Macaca fascicularis: one gene and its partner. The protein of the gene in region 1 purifies or fractionates together with the protein of each later gene. This does not show direct contact. Links are inferred from orthologs where the notes say so. Each region holds a gene or a part of one and is shown on either strand. Other genes may lie near its edges.

Region 1 (8,504 bases):
CAACACCCCTGGCTCACTGGGCCCTCAGCCAAAGTGCCAGGCATGTAGACTGCTAGACTGATGGTTTCTTTTCATTTTTTTGTTTTTGAGACAGAGTCTTGCTGTCACCTGGTCTGGACTGCAGTGGTGTGATCTCAGCTCACTGCAACCTCTGCCTCCTGGGTTCAAGTGATTTTCGTGCCTCAGCCTCCCGAGTAAGTGGGATTATAGGAGTGTGCCACCACATCCAGCTGATTTTTGTATTTTTAGTAGACACAGGATTTCGCCGTGTTGCCCAGGCTGGTCTCGAACTCTTGGCCTCAAGTTATCCACCTGCTTCGGCCTTCCAGAATGCTGGGATTACAAGCGTGAGCCAGTGCACCCAGTCTTTTTTTTATTTTTTCTGAGACAGGGTCTCACTTTGTTGCCCAGGCTGGAGTGACGTGGTACGATCTCGGCTCACTGCAACCTCCGCCACTGGGGTTCAAGTGATCCTCCCACCACAGCCTCACAAGTAGCTGCATGTGCACCATCATGCCCAGCTAATTTTTGTATTTTTTGTAGAGAGGGGGTTTCGCCATGTTGCCCAGGCTGTCCTAGAACTCCTGGGCTCAAGCAATCCTCCCACCTTGGCCTCCTGAAGTGCCGGGATTATAGGCATGAGCCACTGTGCCCAGCTCCCCCATTTTTTTTTTTTTTTTGAGATGGAGTCTCGCACTGTCTCCCAGCCTGCAGTGCAGTGGCGCGATCTTGGCTCACGGCAAGCTCTGCCTCCCAGGTTAACGCCATTCTCCTGCCTCAGCTTCCTGAGTAGCCGGGACTACAGGTGCCCGCCACCATGCCCAGCCAATTTCTTGTATTTTTAGTAGAAACAGGGTTTCACCATGTTAGCCAGGATGGTCTCGATCTCCTGACCTTGTGATCTGCCTGCCTCGGCCTTCCAAAGTGCTGGGATTACAGGCATGAACTCCCGTGCCTGACCATAGAGTGATGGTTTCTATATGTCAGGGGCTCACAAGGGGCTCTGAATGTGCGCAGTCACCAATGCCCCCATTTTACAGTAGAGCAAACTGACAGAGAGAAGAAGGGACCTGCCCAAAGAAACACAGTTAACAACTGCAGGTGTCAAAAGAGAATGCGGGTTGACTGGCCCCACGGGGTCACCTCTCCAAAGCCCCAGGAAACTTCAGCTGCCCTCTGGATGCCACAGCCCAGGCCAGCCATCCTGGGTGCCCTGCAGTGCCCTCACACACCTGTCTATCTCGTCCCGGCTGAGCACCTCCTGCTTCTTCAGTGCTTTGATGGCGTAGTATTTCCCCGTCCCCTTGAACTGGACCAGGAGGACCTGGGGCCAGAGACAGGTTGGGTCCAGGTGGGCCGCACCAGGGAGCCTTTACCACCCACACAGATCAGGTCCTCCCGGCTCATGTGATGAGGCCCCCAATCCTGTCCCATAGCACCCTCTTCAGCCCACTACCTTCCCAAAGTGTCCCCGGCCCAGCACGGCTAAGCAGCGGAAGTCCTGAAGCCGAGGGGCTTTCCTGCAAAGAAAGAGAGGGTATAGGAAGTCCCCTACGGCAAGGGCTGGGTCCCTACCCAGAGCCACTCCAAGCCTCCCATGCCCAGTCCGGGGCTGTCTCAACCTATGGGCTCGAGAAACCCCTGCAGGAAGGGCTCCTAGAAGCTGGCATAGAGCTGGAGCTCAATCATGTGGGTTTAGCAAATCAGACCCCGAGAGCCAGCCAGCGCGTGTGCCAGGGAGCCACGGAGTAATGTATGATGGATACACAAATGTTCAAGTAAGCAGACGAACGTCTCAAACATGAAGGTGCGCAGGATGTGGGTACCTGGTGGGGGAGGCTGGTGGAGATGGCCCACGTCGAGTCCTAGGCTCCATGTGGGGGCGTTTGGTGCGCTGTGAGGACAGAAGAGCTCAGGGCAGGGCTGGGCTTCCTTCTTTCTTTCCCTTTAGGCCTGCCACCCCACAGCTGGGTGAGCCCGCCAAGCCCAGCCGGTCCCAGGAGCCAGTAGTCCCTCCAGCCCCTCACCGGAGTCTCCTCGAATGTTGGCTCCTGCGGGAGGTAGAGGCGCGGGGGCTTGGGTGGGGGTGTCATCTGTTCGCCCAAGGGGGTCTTCTTGGGCAAGAAATTACTGTAGGGAGAAAGTAGACACAGTGCCCAGCACAGTCAGATGCAACAGCTGGCAGGATGGACACACCCACCTGAAGGGAGATGGACAGAGGTTGGGGGCTGAGCAATATGGACAGACAGACAGACACCGCCTGCATTTGGAGCCCCACAGCTGCCACAGAGGAGGGTGCAGTCTAGGGCGACGGGGCTCCTCACCTGGGAGTGGCAGGGTCAGAGGCCTCTCGTGATGTTGTTGGGGTCCGAGGGCACCCTTTGGGGGGGCTGATCGTGCTCGGGGAGCTGCAGGGGGGCAGCAGGTTCATGACGAGGCGCCCCCAGGCCGCCATGCTGAGGTTCATCTGCGAAGCCCTCAGGAAGTCCTGGCCTGGGAGAAAAGGGGACCTTAGTCCCGGGGCCCCAGCCGTGCTCCCTCGCACATAGCCCCCATCCCCTCCACACCTCTGCGTTTAGAGAAGATGCGTTCCTGCCTCTGCAGCCGGGGCCGCCTCTCAATGACAGGATCGCAGAAGGTCACCTGCAGGGGTAGGGGCAGGGTTGTGGACCAGTCGCCTCCCATCTCAGCTGCCGTGGCACCTCCTCTGCCCCTGGGATCACAGCCCAAGCCCCCAGGGTCAACAGATGCAAGAGCCAGAAGGACCCAGGGAAACAGATTCAATGTCCTCACTGAGACTAGTGGAGAAACAGAGGCCCAGGGAGGACAGCACTTTTCCAGGCTCACACCTGAGGCAGGGCAGTCAGGACAAGGACCCAGGCCTCCAGATGCAGCCCTGAGAGAGCGGCGAGGAGCCCTTATTGTTGGAGACCTCCTCTCTGGTCCTCAATCTCTGCACCTACATGCAGTGCATCGGTCTTGAAGGCCTTCCTGGCCCTGACGCCCCCAGGGGCCCACCAAGTCAGAGGGCGGAGGTGGTGAGCACCTGGGCAAAAAGCAGCCCCTGTGGTACCAGGCTGAGGGACAGCTGGTGACAGGCATTGTCCAGGAAGTCCTCAAGTCTCAGGAAGGCCACGCCACATAGCTGCCGCCAGTCCCGCCAATGCACCCCAATCTCCAGCTCACGGGCCTATATTGGGGAGGCCAGGCTGAAGGGTGGGGTGCAGAACGAGCCCCGACCTGGGCAGCCTTCCACCCCGCAGCCCAAGGTCACCCCTGACCACACAAAAGCAGCCTTACTCGCTCCAGTGGAATGACAAAGGTCTGGTCCCAGGACTGTTTGGCCACCTGCCCCCAGCCCGTCTGCCCCACAACGCGGTTGTCCACCTTCAGCACAGCCAGCACCTCGCCTGCAGGGCCAGAGCTGGGGCTCAGCACAGGCCTGAAGCAGGGCTCTCCTGCCCTCCCCGAAGCTCCTTCCCTACTCACTGGCAAGCTCGCCTCGGCCACGCTGCTGCTTGGCCCTGGTCCGAAGCCAGCCGTCGGAGGGGCTGCCAGCCAGTGCAGCCGCCGGGGAGCGTCCAGGCACGGCTGCCAGCAACTGTTCACAGCCCAGGAGACGGACCTGCAGTGTCCCTGCGGTAAGGGTGGGCGGGGGGTGTTGTCAGATGCCATCTTCCCCCTGCTACCACCAAGGTGTCCTGGGACCCCAGGAAGGCCACCCTCTCCAGGAGGTGGCTGAACCCAGACCCTACCCACCTGAGGCCAGGGCAGCTACCTGAGAAACCTCACTCAGTGTGGCAGCCTAGAGTGCCTGGACAGGAGCCTGCTGACTGCCCTGCAGCTTCCAAGTACCATGAGTCCCCGAAGGGTGCCCTTGGACCCCGATGACACCCTGGGTGGCCTCCAACCTGGCCACTCCCAGGGGAGGAGCCACCTTGTCCCAGACTGCACGCTTCTCTGTGGCAGCCACCTCTTTCCAGGGCAGAGCAACTGGCTCTCCCGTCCATATGCTGGAGGGGCAGGGACACAGGCTCAGACCTCAGACCTCAGTCAGGCTGCACAGACACAGCACATGACGAGATGCTGCCCAGAGCTGGGGCCTGGAGAGCACTGTGGCAAGGACAAGAGCTTGGGACAGGGAGCAGGAAGCCTGGCTTCCTGTCCGGACCCACCTGCTACCTGGGCCTCAGTTTCCCCATCTGAACAGTGGAGGTGAGTCCCAGCTCTGCCCCACCTCCCTCAATGGATATGAAACGTGTTTTGTCAATGAAGTAAGTTCATGTGTCACGTCACTAGAGGTTTGTCTCTCAAAGGGTAGAGAAAGCAGTGGGGATCTAGCAGCTTTTGAGGACACGAAGTAGGCCCAAGAGTATCATTTAGGGAGAGTCTGGGGCTGGGGGTTACAGACAGAGAGAACTTGTAAACAAAGGCAGGGGTCCAGGGTAGAAAGATCAGCTTAGAAAGAACAGCTCGGCTGGGCGCAGTGGCTCACACCTGTAATCCCAACACTTTGGGAGGCCGAGGCGGGCAGATCACCTGGGATCAGGAGTTCAAGACCAGCGTGACCAACATGGCAAAACCCCGTCCTAACCAAAAATACAAAAATCAGCCGGGCCTGGTGTTGGGCACCTGTAATCCCAACTACCTAGGAGGCTGAGGAAGGAAAATCGCTTGAACCCAGGAGGCGGAGGTTGCAGTGAGCCGATATTGTGCCATTACACTCCAGCCTGGGCGACAGAGCAAGACTCTGTCTCAAAAAAAACAAAAACAAAAACAAAAATTTGAGGCCGGGTGCGGTGGCTCACACTTATAATCCCAGCACTTTGAGAGGGTGAGGCAGGCGGATCACCTGAGGTCGGGAGCTCGAGACCAGCCTGGCCAACACGGTGAAACCCCGTCTCTACTAAAAATACAATTAGCCGGGCATGGTGGTGGGCGCCTGTTATCCCAACTACTTGGGAGGCTGAGGCAGGAGAATTGCTTGAACCTGGGAGACAAGAGGTTGCAGTGAATCAAGATGCCACTGCACTCCAGCCTGGGCGACAAAGCAAGACTCTATCTCTTTTTTTTTTTTTTTTTTTTTTTTTATGAGAGGGAGTCTGGCTCTGTCGCCCAGGCTGGAGTGCAGTGGCCGGATCTCAGCTCACTGCAAGCTCCGCCTCCCAGGTTTACGCCATTCTCCTGCCTCAGCCTCCCGAGTAGCTGGGACTACAGGCGCCCGCCACCTCGCCCAGCTAGTTTTTTTTGTATTTTTTAGTAGAGATGGGGTTTCACCGTGTTAGCCAGGATGGTCTTGATCTCCTGACCTCGTGATCCGCCCGTCTCGGCCTCCCAAAGTGCTGGGATTACAGGCTTGAGCCACCGCGCCCGGCCAAGACTCTATCTCAAAAAAAAAAAAAAAAAAAAAAAAAGGCCCAGCATGGTGGCTCACACCTGTAATCCCAGCACTTTGAGAGGCCGAGGTGGGCAGATCACGAAGTCAGGAGATCAAGACTGCCAGGCGTGGTGGCTCACGCCTGTAATCCCAGCACTTTGGGAGGTCGAGGCGGGTGAATCACGAGGTCAGAAGATTGAGACCATCCTGACTAACACGGTGAAACCCCGTATCTACTAAAAACATAAAAAATTAGCCGGGCATGGTGGCGGGCGCCTGTAGTCCCAGCTACTCGGGAGGCTGAGGCAGGAGAATGGCGTGAACCCGGGAGGCGGAGCTTGCAGTGAGCCGAGATCGCACCACTGCACTACTTACGGCCTGGGCGACAGAGTGAGACTCCCTCTCAAAAAAAAAAAGGAGATCAAGACCACAGTGGTGAAACCCCGTCTCTACTAAAAATACAAAAAATTAGCTGGGTACGGTGGCAGGCGCTTGTAGTGCCAGCTACTCGGGAGGCTGACACAGGAGAATCGCTTGAACCTAGGAGGTGAAGGTTGCAGTGAGTCAACATCACGCCACTGCACTCCAGCCTGGGCGACAAAGCAAGACTCTGTCTTAAAAAAAAAAAAAAAAGCCCGGGCGCGGTGGCTCACACCTGTAATCCCGCACTTTGGGAGGTCGAGGTGGGTGGATCACGAGGTCAGGAGATCGAGACCACGGTGAAACCCCGTTTCTACTAAAAATACAAAAAATTAGTCGGGCGCAGTGGCAGATGCCTGTAGTCCCAGCTACTCGGGAGACTGAGGCAGGAGAATGGTGTGAACCCGGGAGGCAGAGCCTGCAGTGAGCCGAACTCATGCCACTGCACTACAGCCTGGGTGACAAAGTAAGACTGTCTCAAAAAAAAAAAAAAGAAAAAAAAGAGGCTGGGCGAGGTGGCTCATGCCTATAATCCCAGCACATTGGGAGGCTGAGGCGGGTGGAGGATCACCTGAGGTCAGAAGTTCGAGACCAGACTGACCAACATGGAGAAATCCCATCTCTACTAAAAATATAAAAATTAGCCAGGCATGGTGGCACATGCCTGTAATCCCAGCTATTTGAGAGGCTGAGGCAGGAGAATTGCTTGAACCCAGGAGGCAGAGGTTGTGGTGAGCCGAGGTCGTGCCACTGCACTCCAGCCTGGGCAATAAGAGCAAAACTCTGTCTCCAAAAAAAAAAAAAAAAAAAGGACAACTCAAGTAACTGGGGTGTTTAGCCAGGAGACAAGATATGGGGTGGCCTTGAGTAGCTGAATTCTAGGCCTTTTAATAAGCTGTTTCTTCTGCATTTCTGAACTTGTCTACTTGGCCATAAGTACTCCTGTGTAAGTCCTTCAAGGCCAAGACACCACCTCCTCTAGAAAACACTCCTTGGGCTGGGCGTGGTGGCTCACACCTGTAATCCCAGCAGTTTGGGAGGCCAAGGCAGGTGGATCACAGGAGGTCAGGAGTTCGAGACCAGCCTGGCCAACATGGCGAAACTCTGTCTCTACTAATAAAACAAAAATTAGCCAGACATGGTGGCGTGGGCCTGGAATCCCAGCTACTTGGGAAGCTGAGGCAGGAGAATTGCTTGAACCCAGGAGGCGGAGGTTGCAGTGAGCTGATATCACACCACTGCACTCCAGTCTGGGCGACAGTGCGAGGCTCCATCTCAAAAAAAAAAAAAAGAAAAGAAAACATTTCTCGATTCCCCAAGGCCAGGTGAGAGGGCTCCATCCAGAGCCTGCGTTTCCTCTTCTCAGCTCTGCTCACAACGGAATGGGGTCAGTCGGCCCTGTAGCAGTGCTCTGTGCAGGTAGGCACTGGCCTTTCCAGCTCGCACTGTATCTCGGTGGGATACAGCTTCAAAGCCCATGCTCTCAGATTATTTGCTGATTACAATTTGGCTGCTGCTACAAGGAGACAGATCTCAGTACAAGATAATTAACTTTTTTGGCCGGACATGGTGGCTCACGCCTGTCCCAGCACTTTGGGAGGCGGAGGCGGGCAGATCACAAGGTCAGGCAATGGAGACCATCCTGGCTAACATGGTGAAACCCCGTCTCTACTAAAAATACAAAAACAAAAAATTAGCCGGGTGTGGTGGCGGGCACCTATAGTCCCAGCTACACAGGAGGCTGAGGCGGGAGAATGGTGTGAACCTGGGAGGCGGAGCTTCACAACAGGGCATGCCCTGTCGCCCAGGGTGGAGTGCAATGGCACAATCTCAGCTCACTGCAACCTCCGCCGCTGGGGTTCAAGCAATTCTCTGCCTCAGCCTCCCGAGTAGCCAGGATTACAGAAGCACACCACCACACCTGGCTAATTTTTGTATTTTTAGTAGAGACAGTGTTTCACCATCTTGGCCAGGCCGGTCTTGAACTCCTGACTTCATGATCCACTCACCTTGGCCTCCCAAAGTGCTGGAATTACTGGTGTAAGCCACCGTGCCCAGCCTAGAAAACTTTCTAATAGTCCAAGCTGCCCAGTGCTGGGTATCAAGCTTTCCAGAGCTTCCTAACACCAGTGCTTTAAGTACTATTCTGCTTATTTATGTAAATACAAGCTACACTGAGTGCTGACTCTGCTAGGCACATCACGTGCAACACAGTAACCCTGTGAGGTAGGTGCTATATCATCCCCATTTTACAGATGGATAAACTGAGGTTTGAAGAGGAATGTCAGTTTCCCAAGGTCACGCTGCTAGTGGGTGGTGGGGCAGGACTGAAACTCTTGAACTCTTCCCCAAAGTGATTTGTGCTTCCGGGTCTCTCCCAAAAAAGAAAGAGAGCTCTGAAGTGGGAGGAACTTCTGGCTACCTGTCAGGGCGGTGGGCTTCACAGGTGTCCCTGAAGGCTGGGGGTATCCAGGCACTGCAGTTCGCAGCTCTCGGGCCACTCTGCTGCGCAAAGGGTGGGCAGGAGGGAGCTGCTCCAGCAGCTGCTCCAAGGCCAGCCGCAGGAGGTCCAGTTTCTGGGAGGACTCCTGTAGCTGGGCCTGGGCCTGCAGAGGGGACAAGGTAGAGCCAGGTTTGTGGATTATATGGCAGGGGGCAGCAGCCCAGGTCACCCGGAGTCACCTTCCGCATGAAGTCTCGACAGAGA
Region 2 (9,200 bases), on another chromosome or scaffold:
GACCTCAGCTCACTGCAAACTCTGCCTCCCAGGCTCAAGCAATTCTTGTGTCTCAGCTTCCTGAGTAGCTGGGATTAAAGGCGTGTACCACTACGACAGCTATAAATGCATGTAAATAATTTACCATAGTGCCTGGCATAAACTGAGAGCTTAACAAATGATAGCTGATATATTATTGTTGTTATTATTATACATATATATTATTTTATACACATTCACCTACTATTCCTCGATGGGATAAAACAAATAATTGTGGATCACATTTTATTTCATTCATTTAACATGTATTGAATGTTACTATTTATGCTAGACCCACTGTGGCAGATTATATTTTTCAGAAATAGCTACGATAATATCTCCCATTCTTATCATTCCCCCATCTAGAGGTACAGTCTAATCTCCTTCCCTTTGAATCTGGGTGGGCTTATGAGTTGCTTGTAGCTAATGAAAGTGGTAGAAGTATGTGACTTCCAAGTGATTCAGGGCAGGCAAGCCCCCAAATTGCAGCTTAGCCCAGGAGGCTTCTTGACTTTGCCCAGAAAAGAATGTAAGGGCAAGCCAGTGGTAAGAGAAAGCAACTTTCATTGAATCAGTGCTGCTTCTTGTGGAACAGGGCTATCCCATAGGGAGTATGCTCAGGGTGGGCAGTGTACAGGGCTGTTGGCAGCTGTACCTATACCTACTTTTAATTATATGCTAATTAAGAGGTGAGTTACTTAGAACTTTCTAGAAAGGAGGCAGCGAGTTTCCAGAACCATATAAGGTAACTTCCAGGCCATTGCCATGGCCCGTTGCAATGGCATTTGTAAACTGTCATGGCAATGGTGGGAGTGTCTCCATGCTAATGAGCAGTGAGGGCAACTAAAAGTGTCTTTCTTCCTTGCCTGCTGGTTTCTGCTGGCTGCTTCAGTGAATCCTGTTTTGACTGAATCCTGGTCTGATCAGTGGGGTTGTGATTGGAAAACAAGTCCTGCAGGCCTCCCACCTCACAAGGCTAGGTCATAAAAGGTGATGCAGCTTTCCCCTTGTGAGCTGTATATGTTCACACACATATGAGGAAGCCTAAACTGGACCACAGAGAAAGGCCATATGGAGAAACCCTGAGTCTACCTGAAAAGTGGGAGATGCCCAGCTAACCATCCACTCCTCCAGCTCCTGTCACCATCCAACTGCAATCACATGAGAGACCTCAAGCCAAAACCACCCAGTGGTTTCAGCTTCCCCAAATTCCTAACCCACAGAGATTGTGAGAGAAAATAAAATGATTACTGTTGTCTTAAACCATTAACTTTTGGTGTTATTTGTTCTGTATTAATAGATAACCAGAACACCTACCTTTAGGGGCTCAAGATAAAGCCTTAAACAGATTTAGTTTCATAGGGTTTCCATTCTAGATCTTTCTGATCGTTGGCAAGTGAAGAACAATGATTTTTGGTTGTAATTATCTATCAGATAGCTGTCTGGACCTGCTATCAAGTCTAAATTTGTAGATATACTTATTAAACAGATCACATTCATTCATTTATACATTTATTTATTTTATAATATTTTTATAGAGATGGTCGGGGGGGACGGGTCTTGCTATGTTGCCCAAGCTGGTCTTGAACTCTTGACCCCAAGCAACCCTCTCACCTGGCCTCCAAAAACAATGAATTACAGGTGTGAACCACCATGCTCCATTTATGAATTTAATACATCAATTGCTTTCTTAATATAGATGGGACACCTCTGACCCCTCCTGAGTGAAAAATCCATGTTCCCAAGCACCCAGGCCTTCCATTCTATCACAAGGCATGGTTATCGCTTGTTCGCTTCCATCTCTCCTAATACCACCACCAGCTAAATTCATTCTGTTATTCATCTTTGTATTGTTATCATCTAGGCTAGTGCCTGCACATAGCAGACCTATTTAAAAAACAAACCAACCCAAACAAACATGAAGCCCCCATGTAGCTGAAGGAGGGCTGCTGATTCCAAGACATAGAGATAATTTATTCAAGGATAGTCCCTATCCTCCAGGAGTTCACAATTCAGCACTAGACACCCTGTGGGACCCAGCCTGACAAGTGCAACGAGTGAGATGCCAGAATTGAGTCCTGCGGTCGAACAGAGGGACTACAGGGCAATGCACTGGGCGTGGGAGGTCGAGATGGCTCTGGGAAAGGATCATTCATTTATTCCACAAACACTTATCAATCACCATAGCACACATAGCACATAGGAAGCGCTCAATATCTGTTATTAAATGCCAGCCACTGTGCTAGGTGCCAGGATGCAACAGCGGACAATAAAATTGCAGGGGCACGTGCCCTCGTGGGGCTTACCGTGTAGCGAAGGATGACAGGCAGTGGACGGAATTATGTAAAATTGTGCTAGATGCAGAGCAGGAAAATAACAGGCGGCTGAAATTCTAGTAAGGATGTGAGCCCCTTCGGCTGAGGGGAGCCGTGGGCGGGTTCTGAGCAGGAGTGGCCGTGAGGGAGACGGACCGTAGGGGGCGGGAAGACTGCAGGCAAGAGCTGGTAATTTTAAGATGCAAATAACATTTTTTTCTGCCTGACTGGAAGAGGAGCGTTTGGTCGCTCGGGATTCTCCCGGGGCAGGGGGCTGCATTTTTAGTGTAAAATCGGTTGCCCAGCAGTGCAGGGCATGTTGTGGTGAACTGCAGCCCTAGTTCCCAGGTTTTTCATGCTTGGCACATCGAGGCTCCTCGGCCCCCAGGACCAGCAGACTCCCCATGCGCGGCTCGGATTCGGGCCGGAGCAGGCGGGCAAGGGTGCTGGAGCGGGTGCACAGCAACGCTCACCCCTGGGTTTCGGGGTCTGCAACGCCGGGCGGGCAATAGGAGGCGGAGTTTGCGCTGCGGACCTAGGCGTTGGCGAGGGCCACGCCCCCAGCCGCAGACCCTGCCTCCAGGCCCCTTTGATTGGATCAAGACCGCGGAAGGGCCGGGCGTCCCCGGGCGGCCCGAGGGTCGGGCAGGGGAGGGTGCGCTGATTGGCCCGGCGGGGATTAAGTCATCGCTAGCAGGTTCGAGCGGCCCAGACGCCGGCGGGGCGGCCGAGGCTGCTGTGAGAGGGCGCTCGAGGCTGCCGAGAGCTAGCTAGCGAAGGAGGCGGGGAGGCGGCGTCTGCACTCGCTGGCCCGCTCGCTCGCTTCCAGGCGCCGCTGCGGGTCGGCGCTGCGTTTCCTGCTCGCGAACCACTCCGTTGCCCGCGCCGGGAGCAGCAGCCCCTCGGCCGGCTCCGGGCTCGGTTCGGGAGTCTTGCGTGCCGGCGGTCACCGCGCGGGGAGCGAGCTAGCGCCACACCTGTGGAGCCGGCGGCCGTCGGAGGAGCCGGTCGGGGTCCTGCCGCGTGCGTGCTCTGGGGAGCGGGCGGCCCGGGTCCCGGGGGAGGCGCGCCCCCGCGGCTGGGCGCCGCGGGCACTATGGGGCTCCCAGCTCTCGAGTTCAGCGACTGCTGCCTCGATAGCCCGCACTTCCGAGAGACGCTCAAGTCGCACGAAGCAGAGCTGGACAAGACCAACAAATTCATCAAGGAGCTCATCAAGGACGGGAAGTCACTCATAACAGCGCTCAAGAGTGAGTGTCCCGAGCCCCGCGGGGACGCGGCCCCGGGGCGGGAGGGACTGGGAGGTGGCGCTCAGCCCGGGTTGCCCGCGCATCCGCCGGGTTTCTGCTCCCGGTACACTGGGGGACCGGTGTCGACGCCTCCGAGGCAGGAAGGATACGTAAAGCGGGCGAACCCGCAACCATCAGATGAAGAGAGAGACCCGTCGCTCCGCCTTTTTGCGTTCGGGGATGGTCGGGAGGTGACCGAGCGCGGGTGGTGCTCTGGGGCACCGCGGGTGGGCGTGCGCGGCACGCAGGTGTCCCCAGGAGTGGGGCCAGAGTGCCCAGCGCGCCGCAGCCTGCGGGCAGATCCCATCGTGTCCACAGCTCCAGCTCCCTTAGGGGCAGAGTTGCTCAGCCTTGGGTGCCCAACCGTGAGAATGGAGCGTGCTCTGCCGAGGGGGCGCTGCCTCCCCTTGGGAAAAGGCGGGTTGTGACTGCTTCGCTCCCTGTACGCAGCTCCAGCCCAGTCAGGCCGCCGGGTTCCCTGGGTGGAATGCTTGGTTTTAGCTTGCGACTCCTTGGAGTATTGGCAGCCAGTAATCTCTAAATCTAGAATCAGTACGTGCGCAGGTTCTGATTCTTGTGTTTAGCAGAAGGTGATAGGGGTGGGAGTAGAGAATCAGAGTGTTCCTTTACTCTAAACTGTGGGCGAGGGTTTAAAAATAGAATGTGCATATCCCAACTCTCTCCCTCTCCTGCTCCCAAGCTCTCCCTTTTACCTCTCCCATTATCCTTGAAAACGTAAAGGTCTGAGAAGGAATGTCCATAGTCCTCAGAAAGAAGTTTAAACGTATTTCAAACATTCTTGGACCTTTTGTAAAACCATTTTTGCGTTTTTTCCTTTTGGTACAAGGGGAGAGATGCAATTTTGCATTCTGCTTCACTTTTGCAGAGCCAAAGAGTTTCTTTTTCTGGCCAAATAAGCGTGCTCTAGGGATGAGTGCTTTGGATTGTGAGAACGTTTTTGGTGCCTTTTCAGTCTCCCCATTTAAAAATAACTCAGTTCATCTTTTAGTTTTAAGAATCAGGAACCACATGAAGGCAGATAGTGGGATTGTCTCTGACTCTCTTACTTTATCTTTTTCTGTGATGGATTTGTTAGTAGGTGATACCTTTCAGCTAAGAAAGGTTGCCTTAGCAGAGTAGAGTCCTAGCTATGAGAATTGTTCCCAAGCCTCTTTAAAGGGCACTTACAAAAGTCAGGTGCCTGAGATGTCGTTTTGTCAGCTTGTTGCTTCTAAAAATGAAGAGAGAGACAATGGAATGCCAGGGCAGCTCAGAGTGCCTATCTTTTGGGATGAAATGAACACAGGACTGTGATGTGATGAGGCTTCTTAGAGGCGGATTCTCAGGCTGTGCCTTACCTGAAACATATGAACAGACTCTTCCTTTGTCAATGATCAAGGCCATTCTTGGTTTAGGGGACGTGGGTCCCTGGTTTGGAGTAAGTTGGGGGCCCACTCACAGGTTGGGCCCAGGAATTTTGATTGAACCTCAGGCTGGCTTTATTGGGTTCTCTGCTTCACTCAGCAAACTTTTGGTGTGCTTGTGGTGTATTGGGTACTGCAGTGGGCACTGCAGTGGGCACTGCACTGGGCACTAAGGGTGTAGCAGTGAATATTTTGCTACCCCTGTGCTTACAGAGGTGTACTTCATTCCAGGCACTCTTCACCTATAATTATCTCATGTGCTTAGATTCATTTTGCAAATGAGAAAACAGAGACTGGGGAAAACACTTCCTCTGAGTCACACAGCTCTAGCAGCAGGACTAGAGCTTTTGAATCCACCTGGTTTGAGCCAGTGATGGAGTCCCTGCCAATGCAGAGCTCTTATTTCTGCCCCATCTCACTTGCCCGGAATGGAACCTTTTGCACCAAGCCCTAGGATTTGGACTTGTGTTTTCTATTTTGGCATTGAATCTGAGGAGGGTGCCTTTGGGTGACTGGCAGTTTTCCTACTACTATTTTTTTGAGGGCAAGAATTCTTTGGTAGGAAGGAACATTGCAGTGATAGAGTTGAAGGGTTATTTAAGCTGTCTAATGGAATGGATCAGCCCTGTAATCTGGGGGAAAGACTGATGGGGAACTAGGTGTTCTGTTCTCTCTACATCCAGCTCTATTAATGTATTCTACCACTACTAACTACTTGATCAGGTCAGGTGACCTCTTGAAATAGAGGGTGGAGTCAACCATTGTGTCCTGGATTTCAGACATTCTGGTATCATGAGATGCTTGCTATATTGTGTACTACTATATTAATGTTTGTGTATTATTTTTCTTCAGTCATGTTTATTATGTTTATAAACAGAAGTGTTTTTCCAGTACAACTTAAACATAAATACATAATTATATAAACACTGGGTTTAGATAATCTGTGTTCTCTTATAGCTCTAAACTTTTGTGGCTTTATTTTATAGCCATATTTATTTTATTTTACAGTTATTTTATAACTAGTATTTGCAGCTCTTTGGATTTAGCTTGCTTTTGAGTGTTAATCACAGGCAGTAAAACTGTCCTCTAGGGATTGCCAAAGTTCAGGTAGATCATTGTTACTATTACTTCCACTTTATGAATGAGATGCTGGCAATGGGGATGCAAATTCTTTATAGATCTAGATCCCGTAAAGGAGAAACATGCAGCAGGTGCTTGATTAAGTGAAAATATTGCGAGTTGTTTTTTAGACTCCGAGCCCTGGGTAGCAAAGGCCAGCTAAGATGTTGTATTATCCTCTGAAGTTTTGTAATTCTTTCTCCGTCACAGGCTTTGAAGAACCCATGTGGGCTAGAGGGACAGATAAGGGTGACTGAATATGTCTTGACTTTGTAAAGCAGCAAAGTTTCTTTTGGGGGTAGCCCTGAATGATTATCAGTGATTGTCTTTTCACTGAGTAATACAGCATTGAACAGAGAGGCCAAAAACCTGTTCTTGGTGTGATTCAGTAAGGTAAGTAAGTGGTTCATCCTCTTTGCCTTTTAAAGCAAGAGTAAAAAGGTCAGCATTGAGTTACATGGTTGAAAGCCTGTCACCCTTTTGTACTTGTTAGAATTAAGGATAGGCATTTTGCAATACATAAGCGCTGCTTGAATGGCATAAACTCTCAAAGGATGTTTGATGCCAACCTGCTTTGTTTAGGAGTAATTATGTTACTCAGAAAATCCCAATGGAACAAATGGATGTGGAGTTGGGTAGCAAAATATTTTCCCCAGATCTTTTGCTTTGTTTCAGTACCTTGTGAATAAAGAAAATCAAAGGCATTTCCTAATTATTTGTAAATGGTGGTAATTGACAGTTTGAATATTACTCATACAAGCATAAATGGCAGTAAATTAAATTCAAACAAAGTTTTGTAGTTTTTATATAACATTGGCTGAAAAAAATCCCTTCATTTTACTCCATTCTGTGTTCTTAGTTGGACTGAATAAATTTGCATCCAGTCTGTAGTTCTCAACTCATTGACTTTGGCTTAAACCCTCCTTCCCTGCACTTAAAATCATTAGTGGATTTTTTTTTTTTTTTTTTTTGTTAGAGCAGTTTTAAATTCACAGAAAAATTGAGTGGAAAGTGTAGAAAGTTCCCACAGAGCGCCTCATACCTGTTCCTTCCAGTTACCCCTATTTCTAACATCCTGCATTAGCATGGTACAGTTGTTACAGTTGATGAACCAATATCAATATAACATTATTAACTAAAGTCCGTAATTTACATTAGGGCTCACTATTCGTGTTGTACATTCTGTGGATTTTGACAAATGTATAATGACATATAACCACTATCATAGTATCATACGGAATAGTTTCACCACCCTAAAAATCCTATGTGCTCCACCTGTTCGTCCCTCCCTCCCCACTAACCCCTGGCAACCACGAATCTTGTTACTGTCTCTCTAGTTTTACCTTTTCCAGAATGTTATACAGTTGGAATTAAACAGTATGTGGCCTTTGCAGATTGGCTTTTTTTTCACTTAGCAGTGTGTACTCAAGGTTATTCATGTCTTCTTATGTCTGGGTAGCTCATTTCTTTTTATTGCTGAATAATATTCTGTTGTCTAGATGTGCCATAGTTTATCCTTTCATCTATTGAAGGACATTTTTATCATTTCCAAGTTTTATCAATTATGAATAAAGCTGATATAAACATTTGCATGCAGTTTATATGTGGAAATAAGTTTTTAGCTCATTTGGGTAAATACCAAGTAGTATAATTGCTAGATTATATAGTAATATTAATAGTATGTTTAGTTTTTTTAAGAAACTGTCAAACTGGCTTCCACTGATTGTATTGTTTTACATTATCACCACCAATGAATGAGAGTTCCTGTTGCTCTACATTCTGCTCAGCACTTGGTTTTGTCTGTGTTTTGGATTTTGACCATTCTACTAGATGTGTAGTGGTATCTCATTTAAAACAATTTAGCTATTTCCTTATGACATATGATGTTTGGCATCTTTCCATGTTGCTTACTTGCCATCTGCATATCTTCTTTGGTGAGATGTCTTCAGATCTTTTGCCCATTTTTATTTGGGTTATTTCTTATTGTTGAGGTTTGTTTGTTGTAAAATATACATAACACAACATTTACCACTTTAGTCATTTTTAAGTATATAATTCAGTGGTTTTCGGCATGTTCACCATGTTGTATAATTACTGTCTCTTTCGAGAACATTTTCATAATCACAAACGGGAACTCTGTTCCTATTAAACAATAACTCCCCCCTTTCCCCTCCCCCAACCCTGGTAAACTCTATTCTCCTGTCTCTATGAATTTGCGTATTCTATGTACTTCTTATAAGTGGAATTATACAATATTTGTCATAAATATCTGGCTTATTTCACTTAGCAAAATATTTCCAAGGTTCATCCATGTTAATAGCATGTGTTAGGATTTCATTTCTTTTCATGGCTGAATATCTTGTTGAGTTTTAATTATCAACAGCTATCATTAACAAAGACTATTCTTTCTCTTTTAAAGTCATAAAAATGTATTTTTTGCTTTCCATTTTGTTTCCCTTCAGCGTGATCACTAACACTTGGAATTGACACACCAATTTATCATGGTTGTCTCTCACAAGAACACTGTATTTATATTTATTCCTTTCAAAGCAGTAACTTGCTTCAGGTCAGCATGTTTTTTGGGGAGGTTTTTCATAAAAGCTTTATTGAATTATAATTTACATTCCATAAAATTCACCTTTTAAAATTTTATTTTTTATTGTTTTTATTATTTGTAGAGATGGAGGTTTCACTTTGTTGTTGCCCAGGCTGGTCTCGAACTCCTGGCCTCTGGCGATCCTCCCCTCTTGGCCTCCCAAAGTGCTGGGATTACAGGCATGAACCACGGCTCCTAACCACTCACTTTTCTTAAGTGTATAATTCAGTGGTTTGTAGTTACAGAGTTATGCAACCATCATCCTAGTCTTGTTTTAAAACATTTTTAGCACCCCAAAAAGCTTTCTCATGCTCATTTGCAGGCACTGCATTTTTGCCTGAAGCCTCATACAAGCACTGATCTACTATTTTCTGTCTCTAAAGATTTATCTTCTCTGAAAAATTAAGCTAAATGGAATCATATAATATGTAGTCTTATG

What was found.
Region 2: the proteins of PKN3 (region 1) and ARHGAP26 purify together in Homo sapiens (affinity purification with mass spectrometry; 3 studies listed by BioGRID and IntAct, with this or other methods). This does not show direct contact. The link is inferred for Macaca fascicularis from reciprocal best matches to the Homo sapiens genes PKN3 and ARHGAP26.

The regions. Positions count from the first base shown.
Region 1 is NC_088389.1:15,242,888-15,251,391, forward strand, and holds part of PKN3 (serine/threonine-protein kinase N3), read right to left. Parts: intron 8,404-8,504; coding exon 8,220-8,403; intron 3,637-8,219; coding exon 3,490-3,636; intron 3,411-3,489; coding exon 3,301-3,410; intron 3,191-3,300; coding exon 3,047-3,190; intron 2,644-3,046; coding exon 2,568-2,643; intron 2,494-2,567; coding exon 2,325-2,493; intron 2,131-2,324; coding exon 2,028-2,130; intron 1,895-2,027; coding exon 1,827-1,894; intron 1,521-1,826; coding exon 1,457-1,520; intron 1,325-1,456; coding exon 1,233-1,324; intron 1-1,232.
Region 2 is NC_088380.1:149,274,923-149,284,122, forward strand, and holds the start of ARHGAP26 (rho GTPase-activating protein 26), read left to right. Parts: upstream 1-3,043; 5' UTR 3,044-3,429; coding exon 3,430-3,583; intron 3,584-9,200. UniProt on the Homo sapiens protein: GTPase-activating protein for RHOA and CDC42. Facilitates mitochondrial quality control by promoting Parkin-mediated recruitment of autophagosomes to damaged mitochondria.